Oryctolagus cuniculus: one gene and its partners. The protein of the gene in region 6 purifies or fractionates together with the protein of the main gene of each other region. This does not show direct contact. Links are inferred from orthologs where the notes say so. Each region holds a gene or a part of one and is shown on either strand. Other genes may lie near its edges.

Region 1 (4,280 bases), on a different chromosome or scaffold from region 6:
GGATTTAGCTAAAGTCCTTGTTTTTTTGTGAAGTTATTCACTTAAAAATATTTACCACTCGCACCACCAGCCCCCAATCAAAAGGAGCCGTACCTGAGGGTAACTGCTTAAAAAAAAAAAAAAAACCTGCCAGTGTTTATTGTGAGAATTCAGCTTGTGCTTAATTTTGAAGATAAAATGTGCTTGATAAATTAAAGTGAACAAAATTCAGTAGTTAAAATATGCAAAAACTGAATTTTAAAATAGGTTTTAATTTTAAGGTACGTTCATAATTAAAGTACCTAAAATATACTTTTGTGGAAACAAACTTACGAGACATAACTTGACGATATTTGGCATATTAAAGCACCATCACAGGATAAGGACAATCAACGCTCTAACAGCACAGCACTTAAATGTATTCCTTTACACTAAAGAGCAATTAAATAAATAACGAGAGACAATGAAAGCCCAAGTGTCATAAAGTCCTTTATAACTTTGTAAAGGCAAAACCCATTCTATGTGAGGACAAGCCACTGTTCTTTCTACCCTTCCTAAGCATCCGAAAGCCAGCTCAGCTTGTACAGCAATAACTTCTGCGGGTGTACAAAGAGGATGTTCTTCTCCGGACTAATCCATTCTAAGTAGAGAAGCCTGCAGGAAACTAAAAAGCCTGAAACATGGATTCTTTTTCCAATTCAAGAGTAAACAGAAAATTAAAGACTTAATTAGTTGCCTAATTCATTAAGTTTTTCATGTTGAACTGATAACAATTGTTTTAAAAAAAAGAAATGCACTCAAATTTCCCATAAATAAAAAAAGTTAAAGATTCCAAAAAACATACCTGTTTTACAAAATGCTGGAAAGACAAAGCCCTTACAACATACGTGGGAAGTTCAAAAAGTTCACGGAAAAGTGGAATTAAAAGATGAATTTATTTCAGTACAAAACATTCTGAAATCCAGACACAGTTTCTTCATAATATGCATTTCTGTGAACTTTTAAAGACCCCCGTTATCTAAGTTTATTGCTTCAGAGAAATAAAACAATTTATAAAGATCATCTTTATTTTTTTTTTACACTGAAGTAGTCACAACTTTGGCTGAAGAGTTCTGACCTCTTATTAACTGTTACATAATTCTAATTAGCAAGGTAAATAAGCAAATTAAATCAAAGTTAATAACGCTGCTCCTAGGCAGTCAAACATATCCACTATGTGCATCAAACAAGACGCTTTAAAACATAAAAACCGAGCACACCAGATCCCGTGTGTCTCACAAGTGACCTAATTTTAGAAATACAATTGTATAGCATGCCCAGGTTGGTCAGGGCTAAGTGTGGCGGGTTAGGCAGGGGTCGGGAGGCAGACACACAAACGGAAACGCTAAGGGAAAGTACGACAGGACAAAAAGCTCCCACCAGGGTAAGGCCTTTTTTCAGGTCGACCCTTGGAGTTTGACTCCCATCCCGAGAGAGGCAGCTCCTCTGACTCTCTAAAGCAAAGACCCCCAACGCGGGGGCAGGGGGGCTGCAAACCCCTACCCCGAATCCGCCCTAACTCTTCCCGGGTCCCCCATCGAACAAGGCGGGGAGACAATGAAAGCAAACAGTCCAGGTCAGAGAGCGAAGAAAGCTCCCATTCAGAGCTACGCCTCACTCCCCTGGAAAGCACAGCCCAGAAAGCGAATCCAAAACCACGGACTGCACGGCGGCCCGCGGAGGGCAGCGGGGCTCTGCGCGCTCCCCTTCCAGGCTGTACCTGCCCGAGCCGTCGCCGCCGCCGCCGAAGCCGCCCCGCACAGGGCGGCTGCGCCCGGAGCAGGCAGCCTGCAGCGCCCGGGTCCTGCACGCGGCTTCTGCAAGCCGTCCGGGGCGCACGCCTCCCGGGACGGCCGGCAAGGCGGGCGGACGGAGCCGCAAGCGTCCCAGGACCCACCCCGGCCGCAACTCTCGGCCCGCACCGCAGAGTGCGGGTCACCTGTGAGCGCGGCGCGGCGCCCGCACCCCGCCGAGGGGCCGTGCGGCTCCCAGGCACGAGCGCCAGGGCGGCAGGTGACGGCGGGGCACGCCCGCGTCCACACCCAGCGGGCGGCCACCCCGCGCGCGGCCGGGGCGCTCCGTTATCCTCGCCCTCCGCGGGCCCGCCAGGTGAGCGAGTCTCCATCGCGCCCGCGGCGTCCTGGCGCTCGTCTCAGCCCCGGGCTCCAGGCCTCCGGCCGCCCCGGTCCCGGAAGGCCAAGTTGCGCTCCGGCCCGCGGCTGCGGCTGCTCGGGCGCCGCCCGGCTTCTCCGAGGGTCCCGCAGCGCCGGGCCTCGGGCGAGTCCGGGTCCGCCGACGACAGCCGGAGCCGGGACCTGTCACCCCGGGCGGGAAACAAAAGCCGAGTGAGGGCGAGCGGGCGCGACCGGGAGGGGGAGCGCGGCGCGGGCGGAGAGCGGCTCCCGCGGCCCCCCGGAGGGAGCCTCGGCCCGGCGGCCCCCGCAGTCGGGCTGGGAGCCCCCCGGGCGCTCACCTCGTGGACTTGCAGCCCCTCGCGCCACTCCCTCCCGGGCTGGGGAGCCGCGTGAGGGGCAGCGGCAGAACCTGAAAAGAGAGAATTGGGCTCTCGGGACCCCGCGGCCGCCCCACCTCATCCCTGCGGCCATGGCGCCGGTACCTGTCTCCACAGTGCCTGGCCAGCTCCTGCTCTCTCCGCCTCGCCCGCGCGCCGCTCGCCCCTCAGCCCGCCCAGCAGGCAGCCCGCGCGCCGGACACCGCAGTCCGAGACTGGCAGCGCCCGCGAGCCGGCCCGAATCCCCAGGGCAGCGCCCGGCATGGTCCCGCCCCCGCCGGCCGCAGGACCCCCCTTCCATAGGGCCCCGGGGCTGTCAGTCCGCCCCCAAAAGGCGCGCGGGCTGTCGCTCCGCGTGTCCGGATTGGTGGCCGCGCGCGGTCCATGCAAATAAGGCCCCGCCCACGTTTATTTGCATCTCCGCCCCCCCACACTAGCCCACGTGTCTGGCCCTTGCCCTTTGTGGGGGCTGGAGAAAATGGATGGAGGAAGCTGACCGACACCCCCTCACATCAGCCCTTCCCTCCACAGAAACTAACGCCCAAGCAAGATCGTTGACCCCACTGCCGTACCGTGTCTGTCTGTCCTGCGGGCCTGGTCTGTGGCGGGAGAGGGGTCAGGTCGGGCTGTTTGCGTTAGATTAGCAGTCCAGGTTAGCTCCAGGACACTAACTCGGGAAGCTAGAGATGCTAGGTCGGACCCGAGAACATCCCGCCTCAAGAACCAGGTGAGCACGCGGCACCTCCCTTGGATACCCAGGGACCGTGAGAACCCTGCGGCCCCCACGCTGTCCCCCCCCGGGGGGGGGGGTGCAGGGGCGGCGGGGGGCCTTAGGGAATCTTTAGCTCAGCCCCATCATTTTTGAAGAAACAGAAACCTGAAGTCTCAAACTGGGGACCTATGGGACATGATAGTTGCCTATGGTAATCTGATGTCCCCTAATCAGATTAGAACCCGTGTCTCCTGGCTTTGCACACTGTCACACTGAAGTCTTTGTAAAAGGCCCTTCCCATAAACCAGTCACCATGCTGCCTGGTGCTTCAAGATTTGGAGGTGGGTAGAAAGTTGGTGGCATTTGGCGGAGAGGTTAAGGCACCAGGTCCCCCAGGAGTGGTAGGATCCATACCTGGCAAGGGCTTCCCTCCCAATTCCAGCTTCCTGCTAATACAGACCTTGGGAGGCAGCAGCAATGATGGCTTAAGGGGTTGGGTCCTCGACACTCACCTGGAAGACCTACTTTCAGTTCCTGGTCCAGGAATGTACTGGCTTGCTCTCTCTTTCTCTCCCTGCCTCCCTCCCTCTCCAATAAATAGAAATAAAAAGTGATATCTGTAGAAAAGGCAAATAGAGTCAACCCTGAGACCTCCTCAAGGATCCTTATCTCAGTCATTGGTCCTCAGTGTCTAGAAGCGTCTCTTTTTTGCCAGGGAGAGTCACTGAAACCATTTATTCATGCATTAATTCAGATAGTGTCGATCAAAACTACTCTGCATATTAACACTGATTCAGCAGGCATCTACCATGCTTAAAAAACAGCAAGTATTCAGCACCATGCTATGTGCTGGCTATGCAGCAGTGAGGAGGAATTGCCTCAGCTCCAAGAACTTCACTTTAGGACACAGGGACATCACGTTGAACATCTGAGTGTTCTTCACCCGGCAGGGGCTGAGATGGGATCTGCACAGGGCAGCGTGGAGGGCTCCCGGGAAGGAGGGGTCCCAGGATTCTTTTCCTGGGAGAGGCAGAGGAT
Region 2 (4,161 bases), on a different chromosome or scaffold from region 6:
ACAGAAGTGCTTGGGCCCCTGCACCCACATCAGGGACATAGATGGAGTTCCTGGTACCCAGCCTTGCAGCCATTTAAGTAAACCACAGGGTGGAAAAATCTCTCTCTGTCCCTCCCTCTCTCTGTGTTTACTCTTTTAATAATAAATAAGTAAATCTTAGAAAAAAAAAAAAAGAAATAGGGGCCAGCGCTGTGGCATAGTGGGTTAGGCCTCCACCTGCAGCACCAGCATAGCATGCGGGCACCAGTTCAAGTCCCAGCTGCTCCACTTCTGTCCGATCTAGCTTCCTGCTAATCGCCTGGGAAAGCAGCAGAGGATGGCCCAATTGATTGCACCCCTGCGCCCATATAGGAGACCCAGTCCCGGCTTCAAATCAGCCCAGCTGTGGCCACTGCAACCCTCTAGGGAGTGAACTAGTGGATGGAAGATCCATCTCTCTGCCTCTCAAATAAATATTTTAAAAAAATAAAAATTGCTTTAAAAAGAAATAAATAAAAAATGAAAATGCAATCCCCCGGGCTCTTACTACAACGACTCAAACAGCTGGGAGTGTGTGGACCTGGGAGGGGCAGGGCCAGTTCGAGCCCCCAGAGAGAAGCTGAGCCCTGGGAGGAGCCAGCCAGAAGACAGCGCTGGAAACAGTTCACACTGAGGAAAGCCTCTAAAGAGGGTGTAAAGAACATTTAGGTCTGATGGGGTGGCAACACAGCAGTCCCCTCATCCCCAGCCCACTCCAGGTATGTGTGGGAGGCCAGCTGGGAGGGGCGGGGTCCCCGAGCAGCCTCTGCACACACCGCCCTCCCCTGGCCTGCACCAAGCAGCAGGTGGGCTGTCAGTATCCATGCATCATCTCCCCAGTGCCCAAAACCACCGCAGGCCTGTCCGAGAAGGATGGTGCTGACCTCAACTGCTAGCGGCCCCAGCACCCCAGTGAGGCGCCGGCCACGACTGTCCGGATGAGGTAAGAGCCAGTATCCTCCCTTTACTGAAGATAAGGAAAGAAGAGCAACTTGTCCCCAAGACCGGGAGGCGTTAAGTTAGAAGCAGCAGTGGCAAGGCCTTGAGAGCGGAAACTGCCTCACGCGCCCCACACACAGGACCGGCGTGCGAACAGAAAACTCCCCTGGCCTGCGCGCAGCTCCTCGGTCCGCCAGGCTTTCAGGGCTGCACACACGGGGGTCCCACTCGCGGACACAGCAAGGGCCTGCCACCCCCCTGCCTGTCCTGTCCTCCTGCGGCTCCTCTCCCTGGCGTGTTTCACGGGAGCCAGGTGCGCTAGAAGCCCGCGGTGCAGCTGGAGGCCGGCGTCCCCCAAGCTGCTTCCACACTGAGCGGTGTCAACAGCACCAGGGTTTCAGGGCCAGCCTGGCTACTCGGCAGGCCCGAAGGCAGGCATTCGGCGGCTGTGGCTTCAGGACTGGCAGCAGCCGAGGGGAAGCGAGGAGAAAACATCTCCTCCAGCGGCACCAAGCTGCGTTCACGCCACTCGACAAAAAGCAGGAAACCCGCTTCCTCGTGGAAAAAGAGAGGAAGGGAGAGGAGACAGGAGCCCCCCACGGAGCCCACCCCATGTCAACACCTGTGCCGCTGTCACTCCGGGACGCCCCAGCCTTCACCCGGCCAAGTGTGGCCAAGTCCCACGGAGCTAAGAGCCGAAGCCGCCCCTGAGCTAACACAAGGCTTCTCCGTGCTCCTCTGCCGGTGTGGCTCTTGCAACAGAATGTGGGGCAGAAGCAGAGAAGAGCCCGAGATGGAGGAGGGGCGGCCGGCACACCTCACCCCCAGCCTCCTCGGGGTCCCGGCCTCAAAGTGGCACCCCAGGAGCACGCGTTGCAGCCGGGGAAGGCCAGGCAAGGGGCAGGAGCATGCAGACACACACTCATCCTGACCCCAAGCCGGGCTCCCCAGGGCTATGACAAGGGGAAGACGGGCAGGGCTGGCTCTGGGGACTCAGTGGGAGCTGCTGCTGCAGAAAGCAATGGGAGAAACAGAAACTACAGTCCCCACCAGGCCACGGCCCCAGACCCCCGTCAGGGCCCACTGCAGAGCCCCTGGCCGGGTGCACGCCAGCCAGCAGCCGGTGGCCCGCGGGGGATCAGGCAGGGCAGCCCGGAGCCCTCCTGCCCGTCCAGGTCCCCGCCCCCCTCTGCAGAGACGGGGAAACCGCGGCATGAGACCCCACCACCGCGGCGCCTTCCCAGGCCAGGTTGAAGTTCACTTCCCCAACCGCACTTTTTCCACAGCTCCATCACACGGCAGGTTTCTGCAGACCACCACCGACTGCCGCTGCAAAGTGGATTCAGGCGAAGCCCAAGGGCTGAACTCGGACCCAGAGGGGGCGGCGCGGGGGCACAGCGGGGCTTCCTCGCCCGCAGCCCTGCCCCGGGGCGTCGCTGCCTCCCGGCCCCCGACGCTTCCACCGCAACCCGAGGTGGGGGCACGGCGGTGCGGCCCCGGGTCCCCGGTCTCACAGGTCCCAGGGTGGGGGTGGCTTCGGCCGCGCGCCCGGCCCGGCCGGGAACTTCCGGCGGGGCCCCGCGCCCTGGCCCGCGCCCCGGCGCCGGCGTGCGCGCGGCTCGGGTCCCCTTAGTGGCCCGGCGCGGCGGCACTCACCATATTACAGATGGAGGCGATGTTGCGGACAGTCATGGGTCTAAAGGTGGCGGCGAGCGCGCACCGCCATCTTTACCAGGGGAGAACGGCACGGGCCATGGCGGGCGCGCGCGGCGAGGCCGGGCCCGGCGGCCTGGGTCCGGCTTCCAGCTCGGCCGGGAGAGGAGGCCGGGAGGGCGGGGGCCGGGAGGCGGCGGCGGGGGCGGGGCGCGCGCGGGAGGAGGGGCGGCCCGAGCGCGTGGGTCCGCGCCGCCGCCGCGCGCCCCGCCCGCCGCCGCCTCCCCCGCCTCGCGCGGGGGGCCCCCGGCGCGCTCGCTGCGGGCCGGAGCGCGCGGCCAGGCCTCGCGGAGCGCGGGCCCCGCCTGTGTGCCCGGGCAGCGCGCGGCGCTGGGGACGCCCTAGGCCGCCTGCTGGTCGCGGGTCTCCCTCCCGCCCCCGCAGCCCCGGGGTTCCGAGCTGGGGCCGGGCCGGGGGTGGGGTCAAAGTGACCACGTCCAACTTTTCCTTTCTCCTGTCGCACGACACCGGCGGGGACCCAGGGTGGAAAATGGGGTCAGGACAGGACAGTGGTCAGAAAGCCGTGGCCAGCACGGCCGGGCCTTGCGCCCGGGAAGGGCGGGCAGGGCCAGGATGCGTGCGCTCAGGTGGTGCAGGTACCAAGGAGGAGTCCGGTGCCGGGCAGGGGGCAGGGGGCAGGGACCGTGCAGGGGTGGAAGCAGCCAGAACAGGACTTTGCCAGTTCCTCAAGGAAGACGCACCCCTGCCAGGGAGACCCAGCGCTTAGGTTTCGAGGTGGGCGCTGTCGGCGCACCCGGTCCACCTCTGGGGTCGTAACTTGTGGCTCTCAGCGCACAGCTTGGCAGGTGTGGTCTCCAGACGTGAGCAACTTCTACACACAGGGCTACCATCCCGTGAGTGGAGCGCGTGACAGATTCCGAAAGCAATGTATGCAAATGGAAAATGGAATTAGAAGAGAAATTAGTATAATGGAGGACAACTTTTATCCAACCAAGGATGAGCTCATCGGAAGACGTGGGGTTATGCGGGTGAGGTTCCGAGCCACTGAGGCTAACATCCCTAGGACCCAGTAGGGATTGAAGGTTGGGGGCGGGGGGGGGGCAAGTCATCACCCTATTTTTCAAGGGATTTAAGGATTAGTATCTCCACTTATGTTAAATCGCTCTACCTGAATCTTATTTACAAATAGATCCGGATGAGCCCACTTTGCTGATTCCCCATCGTCAGTCCTCAGCACCTTTTTCTGTGACCTTCCGTCACCTGCTGGGTGCGATCCCCCCCTCCTGTTGCAGCTCAGTAACATGGGACAGGGTGGGGAGCCATTTGGAAATTTATAACATCATTTGCAGACCATACCAGGTTATCTCTTAAAAATTAGCCTGCCGCAGATTCGAAACAGCCAGAGTGAAGCCCAGGCAGTGAATGACATAACACAACCAATCAGTTGAACACAGATCCTGTCAGCCTCACGAATGATTAAATACGTTTGAAGCTTGCTCGAGGTTGGTGGTCACAGGTCAAAACCGGAAA
Region 3 (3,500 bases), on a different chromosome or scaffold from region 6:
AAGTTTGATATTCTTCCCCAAAAAAGGTTGTTTCTTAAAAACCAGACTCTACGATGTGCTTCTGTTCTACCTTAATGACGTTAAAGCCATGCAACAGTTCAAAACCACTGTTCTTTCTGAACGGGGTCTCATAGAACCCGACCCATGCATATGAGGGCCGAAGTCACAGGAGAGACTAGAATCCAGGGCTTCTCATTCAGGAAACCCGCTTTATCCTTCCCAATCGCAGGGAAGTTGTACTGAGAGAGGAGCAGGAACATCAAATATGTGATGGCGACAGCTGGGGAGAAAAGCCGCTCCAATCACTGTTGCAAATACTAATCCCTTTGGCAAATTCTGTCTGGCGCGTTTAAGTTCTGACATGTTCCTGAACTGATGGCTATCTCAGGTTCCTTCCAGAATGAAACCGAAGAAACTGGAAACCTTAACACATACTACAGCTGGCAAAATCTATGTCATGTGATCCAGTTTTAAGTGCCAGGATTTCTAACTATGCCCAAGGTGATTTTACAGCGAATATTTCCCAGAGTTAGAGAACTGCTGCTTAGTCAAATGCCTGTCGAACCGCGCGTGCACAACCACAAGAAAGCTTCAGCTGCAACCGCAGCAGCCTATAGAAATTGTCAGATTCTTAGTCTGCACGGAATTATTCTGGTGACGTGAACACTGGGAATTCTATAGTTTTAATTAAATTACGAGTATCAAGTTATAATCATTTCTACCTGTTACAGAAGGGTTTTAAATCCCCAGTATGGATACCTGCACACACTCCATAAAAATGCATGGAACAGTCACCCCAAGGGAGAACAGGCAGAGGTCACTACTAATCCACCACATTGAAACTGGGGCTAACACTACACAGGACAGCCGAGCAAATAAAACATGGGCTTAGCTTGAAGCACAAAACAAGGTCCACTATCCTTGGTAAGAATGTATAAATTCTTAAAGGGATTCTTTAACAGCTGAGACAGGGTGCTACTTACTTCCTCATTAAATAGTTTGCTAGTTTCTTTTTTGATTGGGTCTATAAGCTGGACTTGGCCTGCGGAAAAGCCCACTAGGAGAGAGACACTTTCTGCTGTGGCTGTGAGGTGGTTGAAGTCATGACAAGTAGGCTGTGTTCCTTTGTATATCCTTTTATCTATTGGTTTACTCAAGTCAGCAGCCTGGAGGAGAAAGAGAAAAATACATACGGTAAACAGTACATTGACATAGGAGAAATCTAAGTTATACTATTTTATACTCCATTATGATGTTCAATCTTAAAAACAATGTTATTTAAAAAATTTCAGTTATGACTTAACATTTGTCTCACATATTACAAAAACACTTTCACATACCTTAGCCAATTAGATGTTGCTATACTATGTTTATAACTGTTAAAAATCACAGCTTATCTCCTGTGACAAAGACTTCTGGTTTTAGGGGTCGGGGAATCTCAGATACTACATTCGGTATTTTCAGGATGCATTCCAAGCACTTTCCTAACAGAGGAACTCTACACGGAACAGGTCCGCTCTCAGACACGGCTGTGACACCTACACGCCCACGGGTGAGCTACCTGCAGCCCAGTGTTCCAGTGTGGCCGCCAGACCAGCAGCAGCAGAGCAGCACCACCTGGAGACTTGGGAAGCAGATTCTCAAGCCGCACCACAGACCCTGTGTCTCAGAAACTACGGGCTGGGCCCAACAAGCTGCAGTTTAAAAGCCTTCCAGGTGAGTCTGACGACCACTGCTGGGCCAACCGTACACAGGCGGTTCCCTCTCCGGGCCACAATCCCTCTTCTGTGTTAGCTTTCAGGGAACTTCCACTTACTGAGCCTACACTCAAGTGCTTTGCACGCACATTTAATCTTCACAGTAATCTGTCAGTGCAGACAGTATTTCCCCCAATTTACCAGTGAGCAAATACATTTGGAGAAGTTAACTTGGCCACTGTCGGCAATACCTATTTAGTAACTGGCATTTGAAACCCAGTTCTGTTTGCCCATAAAGGGAATGGGGAGAAACACATACCCGCACACCCCAAAGTCAAAAGTAAGTAATTTCTGACTTGGGTTAAAAATAATCTGGGGGGATGGGCACTTGGCGCAGCAGTTACCTTGCTGTTTGGGATACCTGCATCCTGTACTGAAGTACTGGGTTTGAGTCCTGGCTCCACACCTGACCCCCACTTCCTGCGAATGAACACCCTGAGGGGAGCAGGTGATGGCTCAAGTGCTTGGGCCCCTGCCACCCACATGGGAGACTCGAATGAAGCTCCTGGTTCTGGCTTTGGCCTGGCCCAGCTCTAGCTGTTGTGGTCATTTTGAGAGTGAACCAATGGATGGAAGATTCTCTCTCTCTCTGCCCCCTCCCCTCCATCCATGTCTCTTTCTCTGTTGCTCTGCCTTTCAAATAAATAAATCCTTTAAAATGAGTAAATAAAAAATAAAAAAACACATGGCTCTGCAACTTAAAAAATAAAAATTATTTTCAACATGTCCCCTCCTTTGAGCAAGAAAGATTCCCTTCCTCATGACTAATGAACATTTTGGGCTGCTACTGTTAAGTAAGGGGAACCCACCCCCTCCTGCTTGCGTGTGAAGACCACGCGTGGAGACAGTTCCCATCAGTGATTATGCCAAGACATCCTCTCTGCCCTGGGTGCCACGGTGGGGTTCACCCTCTAGTTCTCTATGACCACCCCTCCATGAAGTTCTGAAGATTTCTTTCTTCCAAAGAGGCCTGTGACATTGTGCCAAGTGTTCTAATAGTTGATTTTCAAACAAATATACATACTGAGTAGAAGAAAGGACCTCAAGATTACAAGCATCTCTGAGCAAACTCAAGCCCGGAGCACTTGGCCCAGGGCACAGGAATGAGGTTACACGCCATGCGGACACTCTCCCAGCCTCACCTCAGTCAAAATGGAGATGAGAATCTCTGTTCTACCAACCTCATGGGATTGTCTGGAGGATGAAATAAGAGAATATATACATGAAAGAGCCGTGAAAAGTGTAATATAAAGTATGACACAAAACAAAGGGGCGTCCTGACTTTGGGCCTGGGCAGGGTGAAGGCTGAAGCAGAGGAGCCATGAACCATGCACAGGCTGCCCGCGGCAGTGGCTCCTCCTTGAGCGTAAGGCAGGGAGAGGGGATTCTAGGCTAGCTGAACAACATAAGCAAGACATCTCAGAACAAAGAAGATACCAGGTCATGTAAAAAGGAGCTAAAAACATAAAATACGATACAACTGGCAGCTAGAGCATAAAAATCCAATTTGAAATATGAACGATTAGGCCAACGCCGCAGCTCACTAGGCTAATCCTCCGCCTGTGGTGCCGGCACCCCGGGTTCTAGTCCCGGTCGGGGCACTGGTTCTGTCCCGGTTGCTCCTCTTCTAGTCCAGCTCTCTGCTGTGGCCCGGGAGGGCAGCGGAGGATGGCCCAAGTGCTTGGGCCCTGCACCTGCATGGGAGACCAGGAGAAGCACCTGGCTCTTGGCTTGGATTGGTAC
Region 4 (3,940 bases), on a different chromosome or scaffold from region 6:
CTGTTTATGAATGCAAGAACAAGTAAAACTAACTGATGGTGATGGAAGTCTGACAAGGAGTCAACTGGAGAGTGAGGGAAGGAGCTCTATGGATGGAGAGGTTCTCTCTCTTGATCTAGGTAGTGTATACATGTAAAAATTCATCAAGTTATTAAGACCTGTTATCTACAGATATCATACATCAACAAAAACTTTAAAAGCTAAAGAAAGATGTAATGTGACAATGGAATTCATTATGTAATTATTATTTTTTTTTTTGACAGGCAGAGTGGACAGTGAGAGAGACAGACAGAAAGGTCTTCCTTTGCCGTTGGTTCACCCTCCAATGGCCACTGCGGCCAGCGCACGGCACTGATCCGAAGCCAGGAGCTTCTCCTGGTCTCTCATGAGGGTGCAGGGCCCAAGCACTTGGGCCATCCTCCACAGCACTCCCAGGCCATAGCAGAGAGCTGGACTGGAAGAGGAGCAACCGGGACAGAATCCGGCACCCCGACCAGGACTAGAACCCGGTGTGCCGGCGCCGCAAGGCGGAGGATTAGCCTAGTGAGCCGCGGCGCCGGCCTGTATCTTTTAAAGGCAACTTTTATATAGCCTGGATTTGTAAAGAAAGCAATGGGCCTAACAGGACTATCACAAATGTATATTCAGAAAATAAGCTAACATAAGAAATTATGGGAAAAAAAATTCTCCAAGCTTCCAGTAACATTATTACTATCGTGGATGCAAAAAAAAAAAAAACCATTGCCTGATCTGGCCCTGGTTTCCAGTCCCACCTTACCTCTTCTTCTTTCATCCCACTATAATCAGATTGGTCTATTTGCCTCCTGGAATAGACCAACTTATTCCTATCACAGGCTCTTCTTTCTGCCTAGAACGTTCCTTCCCCTAGAGCTTCCAAGCTCATTCCTTTGATGCTTCAGGTCTGGGTCAAGTTTCAACTCCGGGGAAAGACTCTGGTACTTAGCGGCAAAGTTCTTTTAGAAGTCACAGTTGGGAAAACGATTCTCTAGCCTCAAATTGTTATGTTCAAGAGTAACAATGTAACAATTTCCTCTCCTGTGCTTAAAAGAAACGTCCCGGCTAAATTTTGTGACCCATGGCACCTCAGCTCAGGTTCTCTCTATTATTAACTCCCACTCTTTCATATCCCTTTTCAGCTATATAACGCCTCTTCCAACTGCACAAAAACACAACGTGCTTTCTTAAATACATAAGGTAAGACTTTAACCCATAGCAATCCGTGCCTTGCACACAACCAACTCTAAAAAAATTTTTTGATGAATCAACAAACGAGTGAATAATCAACAGTGATAAGACATCTGGAAAGTTTCAAGGGCACGAGTTAAAGGTTTTTGTTCCGTTCACGGACCCTTACCATAGGGCCCGGTACAGAACAGCAAGGATGAGTATCAAATAGGAAACTAAATCAACTAATACCAAGTCCAGATTTCACTTCTCTTGCTCCCACGAAGTAAAACACAGGTTGTGTTCGGAAGAAGCTGTGGGAATGGGGGCGTCTGGGAGCGCGAAGGGCAAGAACAGGGATGCGAGGGGTCCACTGTGGGACCAAGGATCCCAACACAAGGGGCTGAGACACAGTAAAAGCAGCAGCCCCGATCCCGGGAAGGTAGCGCTAGGAAGAGGCGGGGTCAGCCAGAACCCGACGCAGTCCCATTCCCCTCAGGAGAACGGAGAAGGCAGAAACGGGATCCCTCACCTCTAACGCCGCCTGGGGGTCCTCGTCGATCACCGCATCTGGGAAGGTCTGGGCAACCCTGCTAGGAAAAGAACGACTTAAGCAGGGCTCACTAACCAAGGCAAGGATATTAAATACATAGTAAAGGGAGGAAAAAAAAAATAAAACGAAACGCCACGCACCTCTGGGCTGCTGCAGGTCCTCCTGCAGCCGCCGCCATCCCTGATAGTCGTTGCTGCTGCTACCGCGGCTACCGCTCCGCCGCCGCCCAAGGGGGAAACTTCTGGAGAAACACCAACCGAGCTTCCGTCCTAAGTAGCCAACGAGCAGCCACGCAGCGTGCAGCTAGGGGAGGGGAGGCGACAAGCAGCGCAGGGCTGGCTGGGAAGGTGGAGGACCCATTCTGCGGGCCTGACCCGCGGTCCCGTGACCAGCTCTCACAGTCCCGCCCCTCACAGCCCTGCCTACGGAGGCCTCAATTGTCCAGTCCGCCGTCTCGTCCATCGCGTGCGTTGCGCATGCGCTCCAACAGTCTTCAGGAGCACTAGGTCAAAACCATTTTATGACGTACTGTTGCCCCTCAGGAATGTGTGCCGATTGGAGTTGGGAGGGAGGCTTTTGCTGCCCGTGAACAAGTCATAGTAAGCTACACTCTCATAATGGCTGCCTTAGGCAACCAAGCCTTTCGTGACCCTTAACGTCATTCGAGGCTTGCGCGATCGTTTCCGGGAGCAAAGTCCCGGATGTTGCTTTGATTCCCGCGATCGTTGCGATGAGACGCTAACGCGCCGGGACTCGCCGGAAGTCGTACAGCCCTTACAGGGCCTAGAGGGAAGAGAAGCTTCTGGTTCCCGGGTAGATGCACTGATGCCAGTTTGCCAGTGTACATTCCCTAGAGCCCCACAGCGCAGGCTTGCTTTCTAGTGAGTTTCCCAGACCAAGGCGGGCGGGAGGTGGGCGGGGACCTTTCCTACAAGCCACTGAAGGGAAAGTGACCTGAACTTGTGTGGCTTCTGCTGTTTGCTCCCATAGACAGCAGCGCCATTACCCCCAGCCCCCGCGACCCACACTTTGACGTATGCAGACTTGTTCCTGAAGTTTCCATCGAGCTCCACGGGACGGGTGGGTGTCCAGGAGGAGCAGGAAGGGCTGAAAGTGAGTGGCTCTGTCAGTCAAGATACAGAACTGAGCTTTAGTGTCAGTGCTCTATCTAAACTCGCACCAATCCCCAGGATTTAAAGATGTTAATGTCCTCAAGGAGCTTACACTAAATCTGATGCGTCTAAGAGGGAGCACTTAACTGAATATGAGATGTGGAGATGGCTTCCTGAAAGATGTCATACTCGAGCCGTGCCTCCGATTAGTTGATGAACGATGTGGAAAGGCAATTCAGACAGAAAATAGGATGTGTTTGAAAACCTAGTGAGCTCCCAAGTTTCTAGAGCTTAAATTCACGTTAAAAAAAAAAAACCATAGGGCTGGAGAGGTAGGTTAAGTGCTAGGTCATAAAGGGCTGCTTGCGGTATACTCAACTGCTTGAGTGTTGTTAAGATTTTTAATTACGAAAGGGAATTCCGCCAGATTTGCATGTTTTAGGTGTTATCACTCTCATCGTGGAAGATTAAAGAGGAAAGTTGTTGGGAGGTAACTTGAAACATGGGTCAAATAAATAAATCTGAGATAGGTGGTGACATTTTAGGGATGGAGAGGAGGGTCCCGTTACAGGATATCTGAAGTAAAATTCTGGGCTTCCTGGTCAACGGAAAGGATTGCAGGGGCCTGATATTTTGGCCTATAGTTGAGATGCTGACTTAAGAGTCCTGAATCCCCATGGGCTGAGTATCTGCGTTCCATAATGGGTCGGGGTCCTGTCTCCAGATTCCTACTGACTAATGCAGACTCCGGGAGGCAGCCCGTGATGCATGCAGTGCTTTGGTTCCTGCTACCCACTGAGACGTGGATTAAGTTCTCCAGGCCCAGCTTTGACGCTATGTTAGACCTTAAAGCCATTTGGGGAGTGAACTGCAGGTGGGAGCCCTGTCTCCTTCCATCTTCCTGTCTTTTAAAAGCTCTTTGGGGGCCAGTGCTGTGGCAGAGTGGGTAAATCCGCCACCTGCAGTGCCAGTATACCCTGTGGGCACTGGTTCGAGTCCTGGCTTCTCCACCTCTCTGCTGTGGCCTGGGAAAGCAGTAGAAGATGGCCAAAGTGCTTGGGCCCCTGCACCCATGTGGGAAAGCCAGAAG
Region 5 (3,500 bases), about 93 Mb from region 6:
GGAGCAGCCCCCGCGTTCTGTGAGGTGACGCCCCGTCTCTGGGCAGCTCCCGGGTGGCTTCTGCAGGAAACTCACCTCCTCTCGCTTTGCCGGGGTCAGGAGCGGCTGACAGCTCCGGAAGTCCCCGAGCAGCTTCAGAGCGTCCCAGTGGGGCACCTCCCGCAGGCGGGATGGGAACTGTTGCGGCCAGCACTGGCCCCATGGGTGGTGGCCAGCAGCCCTTGCTAGGGGCCACAGGGAAGGCCTGACCCGGCTCGCCTCCAGGTGGCCAGCAAGGCCCTTGTCTTCCGTAGGTGCCAGAGGAAGAAAAAGGCTTTTCTTGCTCTTGAGCATAGATTTGCTTCATTTATGGTTTCCTGAGAGTGACTAGCAGGCCCTGCGCTGTGCTCTGCAGCCCTGGCGGGGGACCGCACCTCGGCACCTGGCGCACCCGCGGGCCCCCGTCGTCACCCCGGGGCTCAGCGCGCAGGCCGCCATGGTTGCCGAGCCAGTCACTGCGCCTGGTTACACAGTATGTCCCCCACTCTCCGCTGGGGTGCTCTCCAGTGCGCTCTGCCGTCCCCTCCCGCAGTGGGTGTGGACAGTGGTTTTGTCATGTGCTGTGTCACTCACTCCCTGTTGTTGTGTGTAGGCTGCTCTGCCGGGACTCCGGGGGCGAGACTGAGTCCATGCTGCTCAATGAGACAGTGCCGCAATGGGTAATTGACATCACCGTGGACGTAAGTGGCCTCCCCGCCCACCTTCCCCTGCTGTTTTTGTTTGTTTGTTTGTTTGTTTGTTTTTTTCCAAATCATGAAATGAAGAAGTGCTTTAGACAGTGTTATCTTGAACTTTAATAAAAGCTAGACTGCCGAAGTGGAATCCTTCCCTGCCTGCCTGCAGTTCCCAAGTTGCAGAAGTATTGATAATTATTTGTTTTTTGTTTTTAATTATAAAAATAATACATCTTTTTCATTAAAATACTGAGTGAATGCAGTGAAAGTCCTGTCTCTTTCCCAATCACTCCTTCTCACCCCTTCACCCCCTGACCCTCCTCCCAGAGGTAAGAGCTAGGAATGATGAATGCATAGCCTTCAGTATTTTTTTCCTTGCACACACAAGCATATATTATTTGTGTGTATATTTTTCTGTGCAGCTCATTTTATTTTGCACAAGATCCTTTATACATACTGTTCTGCAACTTTTTTTTTTTTCCATTTAAAGCATATCTTGGCTACCTCCTCATGTCTGTGGACATGTGGGTCATCCCCCTTTAGTGATTGCAAAGTGTTCCATTGTAGGAATTCCATGCTGTATTTAGTCAGTCCCCTGTTGACACACATTTGGTGGTTTCCAATGTTTTCTGTTACAAACAGTGCTGCAGTGAACATCCTTGTACATGTATCTTTGTGTACTTTTTAGGATAAATTCCTAGAAGTGGAATTGCTGGATCAAAGGCTATGCGCATTTTCACTTTTGATATCTTTGCCAAATTGCCCTCCACAGACATGGTAGAGTTTACACGCTCACCAGCGGTGTGTGAGTGGCCCTTTCCCCACACCCACACCACCGTGGGACACTGCTAACCTCGCTGAGAGATAGGCAGATGTTTGGCGTTGCTTCCACGTGGATTTCTGGGTCCGTTCTGAGTGAGACGGAGTGTCTTTTCACAGCGGCCGTGATACCTCTTCTGTGAAGTGCCTGCTCCCGTTCCGCACCCATTTTCCTTTGAGATCTCTTGTCTTTCCTAATGATTTGTAGGAATTCTCTGTATTGAATATTAACCCTTTGACTGTTACCTCCATCTTTCAGTTGAATTTTTACTTTGTTCATGGTGTCTCTGGCCAGGTGAAAAGCTGTGATTTTTTTTTTTTTTTTTTTTTTTTTTACCTAGTCAAATTGAGCCTTCCTGGCTCTGAGCTGCATGACTTGTGTAGGTATTTCCACTCCACAAAGTAGCACAAGTGTTCTCTCCTCTCTTCTCTTCGAGTACCTTTGTGATAATGTTTATGTCCAGATCTTTATTCTTTGATATGAGGTATGATTCTGCTTTCCAGAAGGGGTAGCCAGTGTGGCAGCACAGCTAATTAAATTATCTATCCTTTTTTCTACTGATCTGAAGTGCAGTCTTTTGTTACGTACTAAATTTCTATACACAAGGGTCCGTTTCTAGACTCCCTTATGTACTGTTAACCTGTTTTGTATATTCCTAAAGCCATATGAAAAGAGATTTAATCTCCAGAACCTTTAGGAAGTGTGTTTTCTGTCCCAAATAATATCTCCAAGAACACAGAGCCAGTGTGACAGCTGGTGGACACTGCATAGTCTTCTCCATGTCTGAGCTCCCTGGAAAGCACTCCTCCCGTCAGGACACACTGGCAACTCCAGGCCTCGGGCTTCTTCCTGAGAGGAGACAGGTGCACAGGGTACACCAGGGAGGCTCGGAGAGGATCATGACCCTGAGAAAAGATGACCCTGAAAATGTTTTCATCTAAGTATGCGGTGGCCGCTAGGCTGTTGGCTGAAGTTTCCCTGCTTTCTTAAAACCTCCGACCTTGCTCTGATGGCAGAGGGAAAAGAGGAGAGGGCCTGCTTGGCCGTGGCGTTGGCCGATGGGCCTCACCCCTGCGGAGCGCCTGGCTTTGCTCAGGGTCAGTTTGTGGGTTTCTCTCACGACACCTGAGTTTCCGTTTGGGACTTTAGGTATCAGCCCATGTTTTACACTGTTGAGAGTTTGGTTTGTGTGGCTTAAAAAAATTAAAGTTATTTTTTTCTTCACTTTAGTACCTTGTACTGTTACTTAAGAGCCATACTATAATTTTATATTACCACTGAAATGACATGTAGTTTACGTATCTTTTGTTTCAAAACTCAATGTCATACTTTTCTGATAAATTTTCTCCAAGGCTGACTTAGATGTATTAGCTTACTTCTAAATTTCATGAAAAACCACTTTTAATTAAAAGTAATTATTACTTGAAAATCATGTTTTCCTATTGACAGCATTTTATCAGCTAATAGAAACTGTTATGCTTTTTTTAACTTTTAATATTTCAGAAAAATATGCCCAAATTCAACAAAATTCCTTTCTACCTCCAACCTCATGCATCTTCAGGAGCAAAAACCTTAAAAAAGTAAGTTCCTGTGATTTCACTTGGTCCTTGATGTAGTTAATTACTGATGAGCGTTGATTTCCCTATGGTTACTTTTATAGCAAAGGAGGCAAGGTGGAAGGCTGACTTTATGACACTGAGGAATCCTCTCTTCCCATAACCCGCAGATCAGGATAAACCTGCATGCCATGACTGCTTTAATGGATACTTAGGGAATAAGGAGAGTGGGGGAAGTGAGTCTGACCAGAGCTTTTCAGAAAGGCTTTTTGAAGGACTTGGGGTTTGTGCTGGACATGAGCGAATGGGTAGAACTTCAGAAGATGGCTACTCCAGGGGACGTGGTGTGGGCGGGGACGTGAGGACTGTGTACCTGCAGCGTGGGAGGGAGGGGAGCCGGCAAGGCAGTGA
Region 6 (3,500 bases):
CCCTGTGCACCTGTCAGTTCTTTACTCTTCGAGTCTGAGGTCTTCAGGTCCATAGGGTGCCTCTTCATGCCTCTAGCTTTAACACCTTTGCAGAGAAGGCTCCACTGCACACCTAGTGACTATCTATCGAACCGCTGTTGCTTCCAGAGAGCATCCTCGTCCTTTCCTGCCCTACGACACTCCTTTACTTGGGATGTTGCAAGGCGTTTGCTGGTTCTAGGGGTGCCGCCCCCAGCTCCTCACACAGCTGGCCATGCCAGTTACAAGCAGGTAGCATTCTTACAGATAACGTTAGCAAAGCAGAGCATCAAGCACACTTTTAAACTTCCTGGATTCTGCTATTGTAACTTTTCCCCAAAGTGTGGAATCTGGCAAAAACTCCCCTTGCCATTCTGACCATCCTTTAGATTTCCCCCCAAGAACCGACGGTTTTGTGTATTGTGTTTCGATCACTTACCCTGAATCACATAAGGCCCAAGATTGAGTCTTTAATTCAATATACCCTGTACCACATTAGACTGACTGCTCCCTAAAAGTGTCTACTATTTATTTAATCTTCTCTGCTCCTGGAACAGGCAGAGAACTAAAATGTACTCACTTCCACAGACATTTATAGTACATCTTAAACCTTATGGCCTTTATACCTAGAATCTGTCCTTTTCTCTGCCAGACTACAAACTTTCACCAATGGCTACCTCCAACCACATAGGGTTCTCTCAACCAGGCAGGACCGGACGGCCCCTCACATCACTGCTATGCCCCACATTGTTCACCCACACGGCAGGTGACTGACATCGTAGGCGATGCCTCAGTGAATGGAGGAGAGCTTCTGGACCCTTCTGGATGGCTTACTGGCCATGAACCTTATTATAATACAGACCCTCTGCAGGGTTTCTCAACAGCGACACTACTAACATTCTGGGCCAGAGACGTCTCTGATGTGGGGACTGTCTTGTGTACTGTGGGATTTAGCAGCGTCCTGGCCTCTGCCTACTAGATGTCAACTGCACACTCAGCCCCAGCTGTGAGGACCAAACACACGTCCAGATGCTGCCAAATGTCCCATGGTGTGGAGACAAAACTGCCTCCAGGTGAGAGCCACTTGCTGTATTACTCCAATGGAATACAAGGTATGAACAAAATAACTAGTTATATGTAAACAGACATTCACCGTTTAGAAGTTACACATCCCTTGGAAGATGGGACAGATAGAGATGCATCACTATTGCCACTCTACGTATGAGAACACCAGGGCCTACAGAGCTTCAAGGCAATAGCCCACTCGGGGCAGAGCATAGCTATGTGATCCAGCAGTGTGATTTCAGGGGTACAGTTCTCAATCCCTAACCCAGTGCTGCACAAAGGGGCTGTGAGGGTCAAATGGGGGTGATGCCCATCAGCCATGCTGCCAAGTCCCTGACCGACACAGAGAAATGTTTTATCTTCCTCTGCAGCAAATGTCTCTGGACACAACGGACAAGGAATTTGCTCCATGACACGGATCTGGAGCTCTAATTTTAAACCAACTTCAAAAATGTTCTTTGAAGGCAGCTGCTCCCTAACTGGTCTCTGCTATGACCTGGCCCGCTCCTGCCCAACATTCTGAGGAAAATCTCCCTCCTCACCTCAGTGATGATGGCCTTGTGCTGTTTAATCCTCTTCAGTTCTTCCTCACAGCTCATGACGTAAGATCTGGACAGAGGCAGCGGCTTCCCATTGCGACAGAGCACTGTTTGGCACTTGCCCACATTGGCAGAGGTCAAGGTGAAGGAACCACCTGGGTCCACAGGGTCATGCTTGATATGGCAAAGGACAGCAGAACCTCCGAGCTTCTGCCCAGCAGTTCCAAGTTTCCTGGAATCCAGAAAGAGTTCTGTTCATTTATCAGGAGGACTGCACCCCTGGTCCTACTGGGCCGGAGGGAGTCGGACCCAGGGATTCAGGAAAATCAGCCTTGTTCATCAAAGTATGCCCTACAGGCACCACTCAACTTCGCAGAGGAAGAGAGCCCCTGACACACCCAAACTGACAGGCGTCTGCTCACAAACAGGGGAGAGGTGACTTTACCATTAGAAGTCATAGGAGCCAGTCTGGAAAGATGGAGCCCCTGGATTGCTGTGTCTAGCTTGCCACGTCCATGTCAACGACACTGCCCTATCAGCACACTCGAAAGATGGCAGGACAGCTGCTCAATGCTCCACCCACTTCTCTAAATTCCCTCTGCTCCCAGGAGAGGAAAACTCAAAGGAGCAGTAAAGTAACAACAGTTAGCACACCACACCCACTAATATCTGTGCTTCACAGTAACCTGAACACCAGCGTGTTCACTGGCATGAACCTTTCGGTTCTAAACTTGTCCCTATTCCTGCCCTATAACAAGACTTTTGGGACCAGTACTATCTATTCTAGAAGATTCACAGAAAGAATGTTCTTGTAATCAAACACCACGTGCTTAGGATTTATCCTTTTCTCATGGCCACTGATCTGCAGACGTACTGAATACATGACATATCTGCAAACTTTGAAAATCAATAGAAGCAAAGAACTGTCACCAACAAATGGTGATACTTCCCAGGACCTGCTATTCTGAGTGGTAGAGGAGTAACACAGTTAAGAAAAAATAGGCTCCCCTGTGTGACAAGAGCAGTCTTAGGCACTGTCAGCAACCATGGAGTGCTTCAGGGTGCTGGGAAACATGGGCTGCCTACTCCCATGTGTTAGTTCAGGAACAAAGAACATTCCATTCTTCTAAGCACCAAAAAGCTCATCACTCACCCTGCAGCCTCTTCTTAACAAATATGGATCACAGGAGGCACACAAGAGATTCCCAGATACCAGGACTCAGTGTGGTTTTAGACCTTTCCCAGGCAGCTCTGTTCTCTCTTTCCAAAGGCATGGTGACTTGTGAAAGTACAGTGATCTGAGTTTCAGGTTCTGTTTCTAATTCTTATTTAGAACTTGATAGACTACAAAAAGGAGACTTCTTTGGGGATCGTGGAGGGTATGCGTGCATGGCATGCGTGTCTGTGCTGTGTGTGACATGTGTGTTTCTTTTAGGACAAGAATAGTAAAAACTGCAAAGTTGACCTGCCTGGTAGTTCAAACACTCTCTGCATTCTTACTGCTGGAGAGAAATGTTGGCCACACCAATTACTAGCTCTTACAGCCCTTTGCCTTGTATCTGTAACCTCAGTTTCTCTCCAGTGAAATAAGTACAATATTACTATCCCTAGGGGAAGTGTGTGAGGTATTTAGAGCAATGACTGTGCAGATTGAGGACTCACTATCTCTTAGCTATTATCGTCATCCCATTGCTAAAAGTATATGACCACTGGGAATCTGCAAGATAGGCGAGCCCAGCCATAAAGAACTACATGGGCCTGCCTCTGCTGAGCTCTTTAAGAAGAACTATTCATGACTTAGGTAAAGCTCTCAATGTTGCCTGAAACAACATTCCTCAGTAGGTATTTCTCCTACTCCCTGAGAAAAAGCAACTTCCT
Region 7 (4,185 bases), on a different chromosome or scaffold from region 6:
ATAAAACAGCATAAATAAATTATAGTCCTTCTCCTGAAAGCCCTCCCAACCTAACAAGAGATGAGGAAACTCTACAAGACAGTATGGTAAATGCTACTGAGATTACAAAAACTCTGTGAATTTCTATGATGAGGAATGGGGAGGGGTGGTTTTGGACAGGGGCAGGGTTATTCAAGGAAGGCTACCTGTGTAACAGAGACAGGTACACACTTGCCACACAAGGACACGGTAGGGTGTTCCCAGTCTGGCAAAAACAGCATAGAGATAAGTAACTTCGCTGTTCTGGATTTTCAGTTTTGTAATTCTCACAAGATGCTTGACAGCTGCATTTAAAGAATAACTTATAACCTACTTCCAGAAATTCAGTACTATTTGGGAGGCCATTAGAATTTATTCAAATATGAATAAAGACACACCCAATTTTAATAGCACCTTTGGAACAGCCTCACTTGGCCAGGCATGGACATTTTGCCAACAATAAGTGCACCAATCTGCAATTAATGTACTGGGTGGAAACCCTAGAAAGAGCCTCACAGTCTGACATTCTTCAGATCAGAATGCCACTGACATAATGTATGACCTTGCAAAGCTCTGTGCCTCGTTTTCCTGATGTGACTTCAGCAAATACACACACACACACACACACACACAGAGACAGAGAGACTTGAATAGTGTCTGCCTCCCTCGACTAGAAGGTAAACACCATGAAAGCAGAAACTATGGGATCCCCAGCACTCAGCACAGTTTTTAGCACATGAATGAACAGTAAAGAGGATCACCCAATCCTGAAACCCTAGCCTTTGACAATGAACTATGACCCCACGAGGTGCACACTCAGCCATTTGGCAAAATTATCACTGTCAAAGACTTAATTATCACATTCACTTTGAAATCGACAGATAATAACTGGCGTGTCTACAAATAACGAGCTCACACCAACCTTGGAAATCATTTTAATAGAGTCCCTTCACCAATGCGTTCCTCAAATGTAAATCGTGAGAAAGAACAAACACCCGTTTGGGGAAAGGGATTCTTCAATGACTCATTCTTCCACATGACTTCTTCCTTGTCCAGGGTAGATTTTAAGCCCACCTGATTTCGGCCATATTTTGAAATTATTCCTCAACACCCAGGAGAGAAACTGCCTCTTACAAGCATCTCTGCGACCTAACTGCTCAAAGTAGGGAGACATTAGGTGCAAGGCTGCCCCGGGATCTCTTAGGAATTGCGACGCGTGAAAAAGAGCTCGTGAGACCAGGAACAAAAGACTTCACAAGTCTTCAGTACCATAACCACCAGGCTCACGTAGGAAAGAATAACTTTTTTGGGCGATGACTCATAAATTACGATCCCGACATATAAGCTCTTAAGGAGCTAATGAAAGGAAGTTGCCCCATCATGTGGAAAAATGTGGTCCTTCGGGCCAGGCACAGAAACACCAAGTTCTACATGCACTCAGAAAGCTTAACTGGAGACTCCGAAGGCGCATCCGCACTTCTCCCTTGAAGTCTGTTCAAAAGGCCCTAATGAAACAAATACCACCGCCCTTGCAGTCAGCCCCGCAACGGGACGCTGGCCGCTGCACACAGATGCGCCTGGGGGATTAAAGTGAGCAAATGAGAGGAAAGCTGCTTTTCCGAGATTAAAGTGGATGCCGGGGCCAAGCCTGACACCTGGACACACGCTGGAAACGGGGTTCCTCTGGGCGAGCAGAAAACGCAGAGAACGGCCACGCCACTTACTTAAAGTTTCCACCTACACTCACACTCACGGCGCCCCTGGCACGGGGTCGCACTTCTGCCTGGCCACAGCCACCAGAAGCAAACCTACACTTGACTTCCGTCCTCGCCTGGGCAGCAGCGAGCCTGCCCAGCCCGGCCGGCCGAGACCCTTCCTTCCTGCCCGCAGACCCCCGCCCCCGCCGCCGACGCCCGGCCACACGGAAACGGAGACGGCGCGGCCCCGCGGCCCTGCCCCTGCGACCCCCAGCCCGCCGCCGCGCTCCCACAGGCCGGCTGCGCCCAGCAGAGACCGGAGCAGGGCGGCCCGGGCTCGCCAAGGCCGGTGGCCGCCCCCAGCCCCCTGGCCACGTCCAGCACGGCGATCGCCCCTCGCAGCCCGGCCCGCGGGGCGCCTCCTCGGCCGCGGGGGCCGCTAATCGCCCGCGCTCCCCGCCCGCGCGCCGTCCAACCGCCCCCGCCCGGGCCGCCCGCCCCCGCGCCAGGCCCCCGCCAGCGGAGCTGAGGGACGGCGAGCAGGGCCGTCCGCCCGTCCGAGGAGTCCCGGGCCGCCCGCGCCGCACCTACCATGGTACAGATGGAGGCGAATTTGGAGACTGTCATTAGGATTTCCATCCGCCCAGCGCCATCTTCTACCCAATCACAGCGGCGGCGGCAGCAGCGGCGGCGGCGGCGGGCGGGGGAGGAGGGAAGCCGGGCCGCCCGCTCGCACCGCAGCCCGCGGGCGGACCCCCGAGCCGCCGCAGACCCACGCACCGAGCCTGCTGGGCCGCCGCTGCCGTCGTCGCCGCCGGCGCTCAGGCACTCCCTGCCTCGGGCCCCAGCCCCCGCCTGCCGGCCGCCCGCCCGCCCCCGGCTCCGCCCCGGCGCAGGGCGCAGCCGCTGCCTCGGGGCCCGCGCCTGCCCGCGAAGCCTGCCGCCGCACACCCCGCCCAGTGCGCTGGGGAGCGGGCTCCGCCGAGGCCCTAATGCCCGGCAGCTGCGCGGCCCCGCGGCACCGCCCCGCTCGCGCTCGGACCGCCCCGCGCGCGGCCCCGGCGCCGGAGCGCGAGCCCGGGGACTCGGGCCCAGCCCCTCCCGGCGCGCGGCCGGGGGCGGAGCCCAGGGCGGGCGCGCCTCCTGCCCGCGTCCCGCGCGGTCCTAGAGCCTGAGGGCCGCAGAGCCCGGGCTGCGGGCGCTGAACCGGGTGGAGCCGCGGCGGCTGCCGCTGGGCGAATCCTGGAGCAGGATTCGGAAAATTGTGTGTGGAGAGAGAGAAAAGCTGCTCTTGTACAGTGAAGCTATCCCGGGGCTAGTCTCAAGCGCTAGGTTTGTTTCTTTGTTCAGAATTTGGGTGCAAACGCTGTAGCTTACAAAAAGGCTAGCTACTTAAAAGCGAGGCAATAAACACAGTATGTTTGAATTAAAAGGAAGGGTAAGTAGTGGGGGAGGGGAAGGGAGCGAGCCCTACCTGCCTGCCTGCTTGTCAACCTGTCGCTGTAAATTTAGAATGTTTCTAATGATCGGCAAATTGAGCTGCGAAGTGGAGAGGGTCTCAGCCCGACAGTGATGATGGTGTCACGGGAACAAGGAAAGTGAGCCCAGCAAAATGTCAGAGATTCATACTTAAGCAGGGTTAGTTAGTGGGATGATAGCTCCTTTTTTATGCTACTTTTCTAAAAATTCGTACATGCACCCTGCTCTTCGTGTCTGGCAGCTCAGTTTTGTTTTCTTTTATTTAAGAAAGGACTTCAGGTGGGTCGGGTAGCTTTGGATGTGATTGTTTGACAGCTGAACTAGTGACGGGGTGCTTTTCTGGGGTTCCAGCATTTCAGCAGGGCTAAAGGCCCGAATTCAGGCCGACCTCTAAAATTAGGTATAGATTCAAAGCCTTCGAACACCAAAACAAAGCGAGCTACGTTTGGATGAAGAATGGATTTCTGCTACGTGAATGCTGTTTCCATAGTGATTCTGTTATAAGCTTGCTTGGGAGTGAAGAAATGCCGAGTGGGTGCAGCCGCGTGCCAAGGTAGCCAGCCTCGTTCTCCCGTGCCTGCCTTCTGCGAGGCTAGGCACTCTCCCTCCTGCCCTTGATGCCGGGTTAGTGGCTAAGGCCGTGTTTTCACCTCTGTGCATTCATGTCAAGCCTAGGGAGGGAAGCCAAGAGGCAAGTCCTCTACCCCTCCCAGCATCTCCCAGCCCCTGGACGCCATGTAGGAGACAGCTGAATTCCCAATGAATGTCATGGTTCCTAACTGCAGAGCCTCGCAATGGCTTATCTGCTCAAACAAAAAGCACTGTGCTGACCAAATAGACGAGCTTCAGCCCCAGCTCATTTCCTTGCTTGGGTCCTGAAGCTATCTGGGTATATTCTGTAACTTACGTATTCAGAAGAACCCCCAAGAGTCAACTGTACACAAAGTCAACTTTTGCTAGGCACAAGAAAGCTCTTTGTAAAACTGAAACA

The links.
Region 1: the proteins of PHLPP1 (region 6) and FKBP5 purify together in Homo sapiens (affinity purification with mass spectrometry; 4 studies listed by BioGRID and IntAct, with this or other methods). This does not show direct contact. The link is inferred for Oryctolagus cuniculus from reciprocal best matches to the Homo sapiens genes PHLPP1 and FKBP5.
Region 2: the proteins of PHLPP1 (region 6) and USP46 purify together in Homo sapiens (affinity purification with mass spectrometry; 7 studies listed by BioGRID and IntAct, counting the BioPlex papers as one, with this or other methods). This does not show direct contact. The link is inferred for Oryctolagus cuniculus from reciprocal best matches to the Homo sapiens genes PHLPP1 and USP46.
Region 3: the proteins of PHLPP1 (region 6) and WDR20 purify together in Homo sapiens (affinity purification with mass spectrometry; 4 studies listed by BioGRID and IntAct, with this or other methods). This does not show direct contact. The link is inferred for Oryctolagus cuniculus from reciprocal best matches to the Homo sapiens genes PHLPP1 and WDR20.
Region 4: the proteins of PHLPP1 (region 6) and SUGT1 purify together in Homo sapiens (affinity purification with mass spectrometry; 5 studies listed by BioGRID and IntAct, with this or other methods). This does not show direct contact. The link is inferred for Oryctolagus cuniculus from reciprocal best matches to the Homo sapiens genes PHLPP1 and SUGT1.
Region 5: the proteins of PHLPP1 (region 6) and WDR48 purify together in Homo sapiens (affinity purification with mass spectrometry; 5 studies listed by BioGRID and IntAct, with this or other methods). This does not show direct contact. The link is inferred for Oryctolagus cuniculus from reciprocal best matches to the Homo sapiens genes PHLPP1 and WDR48.
Region 7: the proteins of PHLPP1 (region 6) and USP12 purify together in Homo sapiens (affinity purification with mass spectrometry; 4 studies listed by BioGRID and IntAct, with this or other methods). This does not show direct contact. The link is inferred for Oryctolagus cuniculus from reciprocal best matches to the Homo sapiens genes PHLPP1 and USP12.

The regions. Positions count from the first base shown.
Region 1 is NC_091436.1:133,767,754-133,772,033, reverse strand, and holds the start of FKBP5 (peptidyl-prolyl cis-trans isomerase FKBP5), read right to left. Parts: upstream 2,801-4,280; 5' UTR 2,636-2,800; intron 1-2,635. UniProt on the Homo sapiens protein: Immunophilin protein with PPIase and co-chaperone activities. Component of unligated steroid receptors heterocomplexes through interaction with heat-shock protein 90 (HSP90).
Region 2 is NC_091439.1:110,974,036-110,978,196, reverse strand, and holds the start of USP46 (ubiquitin carboxyl-terminal hydrolase 46), read right to left. Parts: upstream 2,801-4,161; 5' UTR 2,650-2,800; coding exon 2,614-2,649; intron 1-2,613. UniProt on the Homo sapiens protein: Deubiquitinating enzyme that plays a role in behavior, possibly by regulating GABA action. May act by mediating the deubiquitination of GAD1/GAD67.
Region 3 is NC_091451.1:45,449,689-45,453,188, reverse strand, and holds part of WDR20 (WD repeat-containing protein 20), read right to left. Parts: intron 2,952-3,500; coding exon of another isoform or gene 2,900-2,951; intron 1,167-2,899; coding exon 984-1,166; intron 1-983. UniProt on the Homo sapiens protein: Regulator of deubiquitinating complexes. Activates deubiquitinating activity of complexes containing USP12. Anchors at the base of the ubiquitin-contacting loop of USP12 and remotely modulates the catalytic center of the enzyme.
Region 4 is NC_091440.1:60,191,185-60,195,124, forward strand, and holds the start of SUGT1 (protein SGT1 homolog), read right to left. Parts: upstream 2,801-3,940; 5' UTR 2,783-2,800; intron 2,620-2,782; exon of another isoform or gene 2,484-2,619; intron 2,172-2,483; exon of another isoform or gene 2,042-2,171; 5' UTR 1,917-2,041; coding exon 1,879-1,916; intron 1,779-1,878; coding exon 1,718-1,778; intron 1-1,717. UniProt on the Homo sapiens protein: May play a role in ubiquitination and subsequent proteasomal degradation of target proteins.
Region 5 is NC_091441.1:108,252,463-108,255,962, reverse strand, and holds part of WDR48 (WD repeat-containing protein 48), read left to right. Parts: intron 1-631; coding exon 632-719; intron 720-3,036; coding exon 3,037-3,113; intron 3,114-3,500. UniProt on the Homo sapiens protein: Regulator of deubiquitinating complexes, which acts as a strong activator of USP1, USP12 and USP46. Enhances the USP1-mediated deubiquitination of FANCD2; USP1 being almost inactive by itself.
Region 6 is NC_091441.1:15,588,033-15,591,532, forward strand, and holds part of PHLPP1 (PH domain leucine-rich repeat-containing protein phosphatase 1), read right to left. Parts: intron 1,855-3,500; coding exon 1,626-1,854; intron 1-1,625. UniProt on the Homo sapiens protein: Protein phosphatase involved in regulation of Akt and PKC signaling.
Region 7 is NC_091440.1:87,334,965-87,339,149, reverse strand, and holds the start of USP12 (ubiquitin carboxyl-terminal hydrolase 12), read right to left. Parts: upstream 2,801-4,185; 5' UTR 2,355-2,800; coding exon 2,307-2,354; exon of another isoform or gene 1-2,306. UniProt on the Homo sapiens protein: Deubiquitinating enzyme that plays various roles in the regulation of the immune response and inflammation.